Caenorhabditis elegans: one gene and its partner. The protein of the gene in region 1 purifies or fractionates together with the protein of each later gene. This does not show direct contact. Each region holds a gene or a part of one and is shown in the gene's direction. Other genes may lie near its edges.

Region 1 (4,594 bases):
ATACGGCAATCTCTTCGACGACTCCTGTTGCGAGCTGGAAACTTGAGAAATTTGCAATTTTAAAGGTGGAGTAGCGCTAGTGGGGAAATTGCTTTAAAACATGCCTATGGTACCACAATGACCGAATATCATGATTAAAAATTTTTAAAAAAATTTCAAAATTTTATATGATTTTTTGAAAATTGAAAAAATCTCAGTTTTTGCCTAATTCCTATTTGAATTTCCGCCAATTGGATTTGTTCGATGGAGCGCGCTTGCACGTTTTTAAATTTATTTATTTTATTTTTTGTTATTTTCCACCGATTTTTAATGTTTTCAGTGTATTTTTGCTCGAATTTTAGAGAAAAAGCCAAGATAAATTCAAATTTTCGATTAAAAAGCACGCTGACAGGCGTAAATCAGTGAAATTAATTAATTCAGGTTCGAAATCATTTAAAAGCGTTACTTTGTCATTTTTACGCCTGTCAGCGTGCTTTTTAATCGAAAATTTGCATTTATCTTGGCTTTTTCTCTAAAATTCGAGCAAAAATACACCGAAAACATTAAAAATTGGTGGAAAATAACAAAAATAAATAAATTTAAAAACGTGCAAGCGCGCTCCATCGAACAAATCCAATTGGCGGAAATTCAAATAGGAATTAGGCAAAAACTGAGATTTTTTCAATTTTCAAAAAATCATATAAAATTTAGAAAAATTTTTTGAATTTTTTTACTATGATATTCGGTCATCCCCACTAGCGCTACTCCACCTTTAAGCCCTAAAAAATCAATAAAATACCGCGTTTTTGAGGCCAGCGGCGTTTGGAACCAGAACCGGGTAGGAGACACCTTCAAATCTCCGATGTTTCTTGACAATTTCGTTGTGATCAGCCAACTGGGGCACCCATTTCGGTGAGACGAAGCTTGTCGTCTCTACCGTTTGAAATCCGCACTCTGAGAGCCGATCGATGAGCTCGACCTTGATTTCGGTGGGAACGAACTTCTTTTCGGCCTGAAATTAAGAAAATAATGGATTTTTTGCAATTATTTTGCAATTTTCCAGGATAAATTACCTGTAAACCGTCTCGCGCGCCAACTTCCACCACACGAAATCGATTTATTGCTGTGGAGTAGGCACGGTTGGCCAGTAGGCGATTGGGCAGCATTTTTTAGCGCGCCTAAAAATATAAAAATAAGGTTTTCTCCATAAACATTAAAATTCGAGCGGTAAAGCAGAAGAAAACATATGAATTGCTCCTAAAAACTGATGGAAACAATGAGAAACTAAAAGAAAAAAATTATTGAGATTTTTCGATATTTTCTGCGGTTTTTTACTGTAAAGTATCAATATTTATCGTTTAAACAATAAAAATCAATAAAAATCCAATAATTTCAGCTAAAAATCAAAGAAAAATCAAAGAAAAACATAAAAAATAGATAAAAAATAAATAATTTTTATTCGAATCCCAAAAGTCCGCAAACACCGCACACCACATTTGACGACAAATTGCACACATTTATTTATTTAATCATTTTTTATTTATTTTTCTCGATTTTTTCAGTTTTTTACTCGAAATTTATCAAAAATACATTAAATTTTCAGATGCTCCTTCGGAAAAGCATCCCCTACATCAAAATATGCCGAGATATAAGCGCTTCCGTCCGAAATAACAAGGAAATTGCGCAGAAACTCCCGCTCTCCGTGCCTCTGCCAATGGAAAACAACTCCAAATCAATAGAAAAAGGATGCCCGCCAATGGGAAGAAACTCGAGGGTTACTAGACTTCCGAACGGCCTGAAAGTTTGCACAGAAGACACTTACGGCGATTTTGTGACTGTTGGCGTCGCGATTGAGAGCGGCTGCCGCTATGAAAATGGTTTTCCGTTTGGAATTTCGAGAATTGTGGAGAAACTTGCTTATAATGTAGGCTTTTGATAGGAAAAATTATGGAAAATTGGAAAAATTAGAGAAAAATATGATGCAAATCGGGAAAAAATGACGAAATTTGAGTTTTCTCGGGCCAGTTTCGGATTAATTTTTACCCGTTCTCCAAAAACCAATAAAACTCAAAAAATACGTTAAAAAACAAACTTAAAACAGAAATTTGCAACAAAAATTTAAAAAAAAACAGGAATTTCTACTGAAAAAGCTAAATTTTCAAAAAAATAACTTTTTAAAAACTTGGTTGAGTACCAAAATCTGTGGAAATATTTTTAATTGACTCCAAATTTTCCCCTGATTCCGAATATCAATGTGAAAAAATTCAAAAAAATTTCCCTGATTTTATATTTAAGCTTGAAATCGCCGAATTTCATTTGTACCTCGGAAACACTTTTTTTAAATTCGCGCCCAAAAATATTCGCATTGGAGCGCGCTTTGATTGTCTTCATTTAAATAATTTATTTATTTTTCGCCGAGTTCAGTTTTTTTAAAAACCAGTTTCATTAATTTTTGTCGAAAAATATTTTTTCTTAGAAAAACCGATACAGATTCGACAAAAATTAATGAAACTGGTTTTTAAAAAAACTGAACTCGGCGAAAAATGAAGAAAATATTCAAATGAAGAAAATCAAAGCGCGCTCCATGCGAATATTTTTGGGCGCGAATTTAAAAAAGTGTTTTCGAAGTACAAATGAAATTCGGCGATTTCAAGCTTCAATATAAAATCAGGGGAATTTTTTTGAATTTTAATTTTTTTCACATAGATATTCGGAATCAGGGGAAAATTTGGAGTAAATTAAAAATATTTCCACAGATTTCGCTACTCAACCAAGTTTTTTAAAAGTTATTTTTTTGGAAAATTTAGTTTTTTCAGTAGAAATTCCTATTTTTTTCTAAAATTTTTGTTGCAAATTTCTGTTTTTGAAGTTTAATTTTTTGAAAAGAAAATTTTGAATTTCTACGCATTTTTTGGGTGTTTTTGTTTTTTGGAGAACGGGGGTAAAAATTAATCCAAAAATGACCCGAGAAAACTCAAGTTTTGTAATTTTTTCGAAAAAAAAACCCTACAGAGCCAAATTTGCCCCCACAAACCAAAAATTTCCAATAAAAAACTAATTTTTCACAAAAATAAATAAATATATATATATATATATCCATGAGAAAATATCTGAAAATACGGAAAAATTGAAATGTTTCAAAAAAAAACCCTTACAATTAAGAAATTCTTGAAACATATATAGTCGGGTTACTGTAGTAGTACAATAGTGGTACGGTAGGAGTACTGTAGGGTTACGGTAGTTTAGGAAAAATTCGTTATATACATAATATATATACATACTATATATCCAGTATACATAGTATATATCATATATATATAGTTTCAAGAATAACTTAAAGGTGGACTAACGGATAAAATTTTTTATGGCGGTTCAAAATTTCGAAAAAATTACACTGATTTTAGCTAAAATCTCGAATTTTGCCTATTTTTCGGTGTCACATCAGTCCGAAGTTGACTTTTTCGGAATTATCATCCTTTATTGCATATATTGGTAGTTTATCTCATTTAATTTTGTTGATTAAGGTACATTTAAAGCCGATAGGTGACCAAAAATCGTCGAAATTGGTTACCGATCGGCTTTAATTGTACCTTAATCAACAAAATTAAATGAGATAAACTACCAATATATGCAATAAAGGATGATAATTCCGAAAAAGTCAACTTCGGACCGATGTGACACCGAAAAATAGGCAAAATTCGAGATTTTAGCTAAAATCAGTGTAATTTTTTCGAAATTTTGAACCGCCATAAAAAATTTTTGAAAAATTTTTGAGCAGTTTCATCACGAAATTCGTTCATTTGAGAACATTTTGGGTCTATACGTTCAAAATCGTCCGAACCGTTAGTCCTCCTTTAATTGTAAGGTTTTTTTTAATTTTAAAAATTTCCAAAATAGTTTTTTTTTGAAACTCGAAAATTTGTTAAAACTAATTTTTCCCAAAAAAAATTGCAAAATTTCCAGTCATCGGAATCGTTCTCAAGCCGCGACGAAGTCTTTGCAAAACTCGAGGAAAACAGTGGAATTGTGGATTGTCAGAGTACACGTGACACAATGATGTACGCGGCGAGCTGCCATCGTGACGGAGTGGATTCTGTAATTCACGTACTATCCGACACTATTTGGAAGCCAATTTTTGACGAACAAAGTCTCGAACAGGCGAAACTAACAGTTTCCTACGAGAATCAAGATCTACCGAATCGAATTGAAGCCATCGAAATTCTCCTTACTGACTGGATTCATCAAGCGGCTTTTCAGAATAATACTATAGGATATCCGAAATTTGGCAACAATTCGATGGATAAAATTCGAGTTTCTGATGTTTATGGGTTTTTGAGCAGAGCTCATACTCCTCAAAGAATGGTTGTTGGAGGTAATTGTGTTGTACTTCACGAGGAGAGGTTTCGATTTTTTTTTGTTGAAAAATCGCAAAAAAAATGTACAAAAAAAACCGTTGAAAATTAGAGAAAATATGGAAAAATTGAGCTTTTTCAAAAAAAAAACCTTTTCGGAAAATTTTATAATTAAAAAATTCTTACAGTACCTTACAAGTACTGTAAAAACCTTAAAGTTACAGTACTTGACTTACAGTAATCCTACAGTACCCCGACCATAT
Region 2 (7,864 bases), on another chromosome or scaffold:
ACGCAACGCGCCGTAAATCTACCCCCAGATATGGCCTGGCCTAGTTCGGCAAAAACTCTTCCATTTCAATTTCTGAGGGAAGCCAGACACATCCGTGAATTTTTGACCATATCCACGTTTTTCTTGTCAAATAACAATAGCATATTCAACAGGACAATTGACAATTGAATTGAGATATGAGAAACAAGAAAAAGTAATTTGACTCCTGACTTCTTCTTCTTCTTTTTCATAGAGTGGATGGTGGATAGTGACATACAAACAGGGCACACAGTTTCGTGTTGACACTCTCTCTCTCTCTGGACAGAACAATATAAGACACGAACATGAAAAGGAAGATGAACAATGTTCCTGCAAAAAAAAGTTGAAGCTTGGAAGAGTTGGAGAAATTTTCACCAAATCAGCAATTGCCGGAAATGAAAATTTCGGGCAAATCGGCAAATTGCCAGGATTGAAAATTTCCATCAAATCGGCAATTGCTGAAAATGAAAAATTTGGGCAAGTTGACAAATCGGCAAATTGCCGGAATTGAAAATTTCCGGAAAATTGGCAAATCGGCAAATTGCCGCAATTGAAAATTTCCGCTAAATTGGCAAATTGCCGGAATTGAAAATTTTCCGGCATATCGGTGAATCGCCAAATTGCCGGAATTGAAAATTTCCGGAAAATTGGCAAATCGGCAAATCGCCGGAATTGAAAATTTCCGCCAAATTGGCAAACTGCCGGAATTGAAAATTTTCCGGCATATCGGCGAATCGCCAAATTGCCGGAATTGAAAATTTCCGGTAAATTGGCGGAGTTGAAAATTTCCAGCCAATTGGCAATTTCCGAAAATTAAAATTTCCGGCAAATCGGCACATTGCCAGAATTGAAAATTTCCGGCAAATTGGCAATTGCCGAAAATTAAAATTTCGGGCAAATCGCAAATTGCCCGGAATTAAAAATTGCATTTTGCCGATTTGCCGAAAAAACGACAATTGCAGAAAATTGTGGTTTTGACATTTTTGGAAATTTCAGAATTTCAACATTATTTGTTTTAAGTGGATCCGTCTTTTTAAAAGTCTCTTTAAAAACTTTCGCAAACGGCAAATCGGCAATTTGTCGAAAATGGAAATTTTCGGCAATTTTGCTCGTTTATTACATGTTTAATCCTAAATTTCGGTATATTTTCAGTCGCTGGGAACACAAATTTCATAAAATTTCGCTTTATTTTGTGTTAAAAACTAAATTTTCTCAGAAAAATTCACATTTTAAAGGAAATTCTTCAATTTGAACTTCCCGCTATTTTTATACTGTCTGTTTTATCAACAGGGCGCGTTTGCACTTTTCAACTTCTGGCTTTTTTCGCCTTTTTTAATCCATTTTTTCACATTTATTGATCGAAAATCTTGCGGATAAAGGCTATTTTTTCAAGATTAAATTAATAAAAATTTGAAATTACTTAAATTGAATCCTAAAATCTGTGAAAATCCCAAAATAATACTCTCAAATCGGAGCCAAGCCGTCAATACATAGAAAAAATCCAAAAAACCTTAAAACTGCTGATTTTTCCACTTTTTTCTACAATTTTCCGACACTTTTATAGGTTTTCCATGCCCTAAGTACAAATATGAACGGGATTATTCGTTTTTCTCCCCTCTCTGGCACTCTTGTCGTCTCTCGCCCTCTCACTTACCCCCGCTGTCTCGTTTTCCCATTTCTCGGTGAAATTTTGAACCAATTTTTTGGTTTTTACACTTATTTTGACGATTTTTCCAGTATTTTCGTGTAAAAATTGAGATTTCTCGTGTTTTTAACGTTATTTTATGTGGTTTTAAGTTGTAAAACTTTTTTTTGGGAATTTATCGATTTTTAAGGTAATTCGCTGCAAAAATGACGAAATCAAAGTCAAAAAAGGAGGATTTGATCCCGGAAATCGGGGATTTCACAAAGTTTTTCAAAAGGTTGGCATAATTAATCGAAAAAAATATAGAAAAAAAATTTAAAAAATCAATAAAATGTTGATTTTTCAGTCGATCAAAATTTTCCGACCAAATAACCGATGTTATTTCGAATGTCTACGAATGGTCGACATCACTGGAACCTTCAGAAGACAATCTTCCACTTCCATTTGTTTCGAAAAACGAAGAAGTCGTTTGGAGTTATCTGAAGCATCAGAATAAGCAATTAGATGGAATTAATAAGAAATATAAGGTGCTTATTCGCGGGATTTTGCTCGAAAAATCCTAAAATAATCTTAAATTCCGAAAAAACACAGAAGAAAATCGAAAAAATCGATTTTTAAAGTTCTATTTTTCAATTTTGGCGAAATTCCCTCCAATTCCCTCCAAAATGAAGAACGACCAATCAGCGATTAGCACCGCCCACTTTTGAACCAATAAGAGGAAAGGGGCGGAGTTCGAAGGTGCTGATTGTTCAGTACAAAAAACGGAGGAAAAACGAAAAAAAATCGATTTTTTTTTCGAATTTTGGTTAAATTCCGTTTCCGACCAATCAACGATTCGCTCCGTCCATTTTTGAACCAATCAGATGAAGTGGGCGGAGCTCAAAGACGCTGATTGGTCGTGCAGTCCTTATTTTAAAGGGAATTCAACAAAATTTTAAAAAATCGATTTTTAAAACGTGATTTTTCAATTTTGGTTAAATTCCGTCTTCGACCAATCAGCGATTCGCTCCGCCCACTTTTGAACCAATCAAATGAAGTGGGCGGAGTTTGAAGGCGCTGATTGGTCGGGCAATTCTTATTTTGGAGGGAATTCAAACAAGTTTGAAAAAAATTGCGTTTTTAAATTTCAAACTAAATTTTCGGGATTTTTGAAAAAAATTTCTAAAAATCCCGAAAAAAATGTCCTAAAAAATTTCTAAAAATTCCACAATTTTCAAAAAATCTAGAAATTTTTAGCAATTTCCGAAAAATTTCTAAATTTCCAAAAATATTGAACTTTTTTTGAAAATTTTTGAAAAAAATCGAGTTTTTTTTTCTGAATTTCAGGCTATTTTTTGGAGTTTTTTTTCACTTTTTTTTTCCTCAAAATTGCTTGAAAATGCTCCGAATTTCAGGGATTTCTTTCCGAGTTGATTGGAAAATCGCATATTCGGGTGGCGGCGAAAATTCAGGATTCTGAAGGTTCGGAAGATGGTTCTGATGGCTCCGATGGCGGCTCCGAAGAGGAGCTCGATGATGATGAGGAAGAGCTGGAAGATGAAGAGCTCGAGGATGAAATGATTGACGATGAGGATGAAGCCGATCTTTTTAATTTAAGCGAGAGTGATCTGAAGACGTTGGACGCTGATTTGAAGAAAATGGAAGAAGAAGAAGCCGGAGAAGAGAAAGAGGAGGTGGAAAAAGCCACAGAACAACCGAAAAAATTCAAGAAATCCATTGTGGACGATCAGTTTTTCAATCTTGACGAGATGCACGATTTTTTGCAAAAAACTGAGAGAGCTGGAGGCAAAAAGGCCGCTCAGGATGAGGAAATGATGTTTGAGGATGAAGTATGTACCTGGATGGCTGAAAATCTGCAAAATTTGGATTTTTATGAGCCGAAAAGTGCCAAAAAGTGCCCAAAAACAATTTTAAAAATACACACTTTTTTCCACAAAAAGTGCGCGAAGAAATTGCAAACTCCGCCCCCCTTTTTCCCGGCCAGAATTCGTAATTTCGAAATTAGAGTGCAATCGCGCTCCAACGCCAACACAACACAAGTATTGCCGGAATTGTTAAATTTTCGGCAAATTGGTAAATTGCCGGAATCGATAATTTCCGGCAAATCGGCAAATTGCCGGAATCGATAATTTCCGGCAAATCGGCATAATTGGAAATTTCCAGCAAATTGGCAATTGCCGAAAATGAAAATTTTGGCCAAATCGGCAAATTGCCAGAATTGGAAAGTTCCGGCAAATTGTCAAGTTGCCGGAATTGTTAAATATCCGGCAAACCGGTAAATTGCCGGAATTGAAATTTCCAGCAAATCGACAAATTGCCGGAATTTTAAAATTTCCGGCAAATTGGCAACTTGCCGGAATTGAAAATTTCCAGCAAATCGGCATATTGCCTGATTTGTGAAATTTCCGCCAATTTGCCGAAAATGAAAATTTTGGGCAAATCGGCAAATTGCCAGAATTGAAAAGTTCCGGCAAATTGTCAAATTGCCGGAATTGTTAAATATCCGGCAAACCGGTAAATTGCCGGAATTGAAATTTCCAGCAAATCGGCAAATTGCCGGAATTGCAAAATGTCCGGTAAATCGTAAATTGCCAGAATTGAAAAGTTCCGGCATATCGACAAATCGCCGGAATTGTTAAATATCCGGCAAACCGGTAAATTGGCGGAATTGTGAAATTTCCGCCAATTTGCCGAAAATGAAAATTTTGGGCAAATCGGCAAATTGCCAGAATTGAAAAGTTCCGGCAAATCGGCAAATTGTGGTTTTGCACAATTTTTTGTTGTTGGAAACTTCATATTTTCTTGTTCCAAACGAGACCCAATAGGCCAATTAGCGATGGAGCGCGATTGCACCTCAGTTTTCAAAAACCGCCTCGCTGCCATAATATATTAATCTCGATGAAAATTCCCTAAGAAAATGTGTGTGTGTGTGTGTTTTTTTCAAAATTTCAATTAAAAAAAAAAAAAAATAATAATTTCAGGATAGCTGGGACGGAAAAACCGACTACACGTATGAGGACTTTTTTGGATCTCGTGAGACAGTTGCTGAAACCGAAAAAATGAATGGAGAGAAGAAAAAAATTGAAAAAGATAAGAAACGGAAGGCTGGAGATAAAGCTGATTTATCACTTGATGATGGGTTTGTAGTTTGTAGTTTGGAGGAATTGGAGAAAAAAACGGAAAACCACAGAAAAAAACGAGAAAATCCCCCAACCAATCAGCGTCTTCAACTCCGCCCACTCCACCTGATTGGTTGGAAAGTGGGCGGAGCGAATCGCTGATTGGTCGCGGTCTCATTTTGAAAAAAATTCGGCCAAAATATTGAAAATCTGCGTTTTTTAGTTTTCAAAAAATGTAGAAATTCAGCAATTTCCGAAAATATTTAGAAATTTCTAAATTTTTGGAAATTTGAAATTTTTTTTTCACTTTTTTTTCGCCAAAATTGATGGATTTTTCATTATTTTGCGATTTTTTTTTTCGTTTTTCTCCAAAAATACTGTAAAAATGTAGAAAATCACTAAATTTATCCGAAAAATCACGTTTATTTCAGCTGAAAAAATCAAAAAATATTTTTCGAATTTTCTAGCTGAAATAAATGTAATTTTCCGGATAAATTTAGTGATTTTCTACAATTTGACACTATTTTTCAATGAAAATCGTTGGAAGCACATGGTGCAACATGACAAAATTGTAAAATTGCCGAAAATAAGTGAAAAAAATTTAAAAATCCCAATTTTCAATCTTTTTTCTAGGAACGCCGAAAAAATTGCGAAAAAAGTTGCAAAACGCGATGTTTTGAATTCCCTCCAAATGAGAACTCATCGACCAATCAGCGACTCGCTCCGCCCATCTCTGGACCAATCAGACGAAGTGGGCGGAGTTCGACGACACTGATTGGCCGGGGAGTTTTCATTTTGGGGGAATCCAAACAAAAGTGAAAAAATCGATTTTTAAAAACGTGATTTTTCCAATTTTGATCAAATTCCGTCTGCGACCAATCAGCGATTTGTTCCGCCCTTTTTTGCACCAATCAGGGTGTGTGGGAGGAGTTTGAAGGAGCTGATTGGTCGAAATGCTAATTTTGCGAATTTTTCGCAAAACTCGGAAAAATCCAACTTTCTGAAACTACGACCAATCAGCGATTTGCTCCGCCCACTTTTGCACCAATCAGGGTGTGTGGGCGGAGTTTGAAGGCGCTGATTGGTCGGGGAGTTTTCATTTTGGGGGGAATTTGAAATTTTAAAATCCAAATTTAAAAAATCGCCTTTTTTGTGATTTTTCCGAATTTAGGACTATTTTTTAATAAATTTTTAAAGCGAAAAATTCAATTCAAAAATGTTCTTCCAGAAAGAACAAAAAACGCGTTCGTTTCGCAATGGATGAGGAACCTGAAGAAGAAGAAGTTGAAGACGAGGAGCAAGAAGACATTAATGATGAAGAAGAGCCCCCAGAGGATGAGCCAGTGCTCCTCGGAGCCGACCTCGAAGAGCCGAAGGAAGAATCGGCGTTTGCCAAGCGTCAGTCCAAGATGAAGGAACGAATCGCTAAGCTTGAGGAGGAGAATTTGGCTCCAAAATCGTGGGAGCTCTCCGGAGAGGTTGCCGCCGATCAGAGAGATCAGAATACCCTGCTGGAGAAGCATGTGGATTTTGATCATGGAGCAAAACGTGCTCCAGAGGTTACCGAAGAGTTTACAGGTACGCTGATGATGGCTGGAAATTGGAAATTTTAGAAGAAAAACTATGGGAAAAGCGAAAAAAATCGGGAAAATCTCACTTTTTGAAACTGCGACCAATCAGCGATTAGCTCAGCCCATTTTTGGACCAATCAGATGGAGTGGGCGGAGTTTGAAGGTGATGATTGGTCGGGGAGTTGTCATTTTGCGATTTTTTATCAAAAAAAATCGGGAAAATCCAACTTTTGAAACTGCGACCAATCAGCGATTAGCTCCGCCCATTTTTGGACCAATCAGATGGAGTGGGCGGAGTTTGAAGGTGCTGATTGGTCGGGGAGTTGTCATTTTGCGATTTTTTATCAAAAAAATCGAAAAAATCCAACTTTTGAAACTGCGACCAATCAGCGATTTGCTCCGCCCATTTTTGGCCCAATCAGATGGAGTGGGCGGAGTTTGAAGGTGCTGATTGGTCGGGGAGTTCGAAAATTGAAAAATCACGATTTTTTTCTTTTCAAAGTTTTGAATAAAACAATTTTTTCGGCAGGAAATTAGTTTTTTGAAAAGTTGCAAAAATTTTATAAACAAATTTATTAAAATTGTATTAAAATTAACACAGAAAAAGAGGCGGAGCCTAATTTCGCAACCTTGCCGCACGGTTTTTCCTCTTTCTTTTTGTTGGTTTTTTTCCAATGAAGTTTCGATTTTACTTGTTTTATTTTCTTTCGAAAAACGAAAATAAAACAATTAAATTCAAAAATTGATTTAAAAAATGAAAACCGTGCCACAGGGTTGCGAAATTAGGCTCCGCCTATTTTCTGTGCGACAATGCTGCTTTTTGTAAAATTTACGAATGGAAATCGCCAAATTTCAACCATAAAATAGGCAAAGAGAGCCTCCGTAACACGGAAAAATTGGCGAAATTTGAGATTTGAAACCGTCGCACAGAAAAAGAGGCGGAGCCTAATTTCGCAACCTTGCCGCACGGTTTTTCCTCCTTTTTTGACCGGTGTTAATTTTAATATCCTCATAATAGCATTTTCATTCGAAAAAGAAAATAACATAATTAAATTCAAAAATTGATTTAAAAAAATTAAAACCGTGCCGCAGGGTTGCAAAATTAGGGGCTTCGCCTATTTTTCTGTGCGATGCTGATTCACGACGGATTGCTCGTAAAATTTCAACCATAAAATATGCAAAAAATAGTATTTTTTTCGCAAATTTCGAGGCTTTAGCTTAAAAATGCCGTTTTTTTTTTCAAATTTTAAGACGAAAACTGCCTCTTTTTCTGTGCGATGCGCAAAATTTTATTTTTTTCTAAATTTCAAATATAAAATAGGCAAAAAATAGCTGATATGACATGGAAAAATTGGAAATTTTCGAGATTTTAGCTTAAAAATTCCGTTTTTTTTTTTTTTTTTTTAATTTCAGCCATAAAATAGGCAAAAATAGAGTTTTTTTCCAGACCGCCTCGAGTCACTTATCAAGCAACGAATTCGTGATAAAGCCTGGGATGATGTGATTCGAGT

Evidence for each region.
Region 2: the proteins of mppa-1 (region 1) and Y75B8A.7 fractionate together in Caenorhabditis elegans (co-fractionation; one large-scale study listed by BioGRID). This does not show direct contact.

Annotation. Positions count from the first base shown.
Region 1 is NC_003279.8:1,748,044-1,752,637, reverse strand, and holds the start of mppa-1 (Mitochondrial-processing peptidase subunit alpha), read left to right. Parts: upstream 1-1,582; coding exon 1,583-1,903; intron 1,904-3,942; coding exon 3,943-4,351; intron 4,352-4,594. Other genes in the region: Y71G12B.10 (hydroxymethylglutaryl-CoA lyase), read right to left, coding at 1-34, 779-991, 1,053-1,145. UniProt on the Caenorhabditis elegans protein: Substrate recognition and binding subunit of the essential mitochondrial processing protease (MPP), which cleaves the mitochondrial sequence off newly imported precursors proteins.
Region 2 is NC_003281.10:12,151,046-12,158,909, forward strand, and holds the start of Y75B8A.7 (U3 small nucleolar ribonucleoprotein MPP10), read left to right. Parts: upstream 1-1,853; 5' UTR 1,854-1,869; coding exon 1,870-1,940; intron 1,941-2,009; coding exon 2,010-2,190; intron 2,191-3,057; coding exon 3,058-3,492; intron 3,493-4,644; coding exon 4,645-4,802; intron 4,803-6,010; coding exon 6,011-6,360; intron 6,361-7,800; coding exon 7,801-7,864.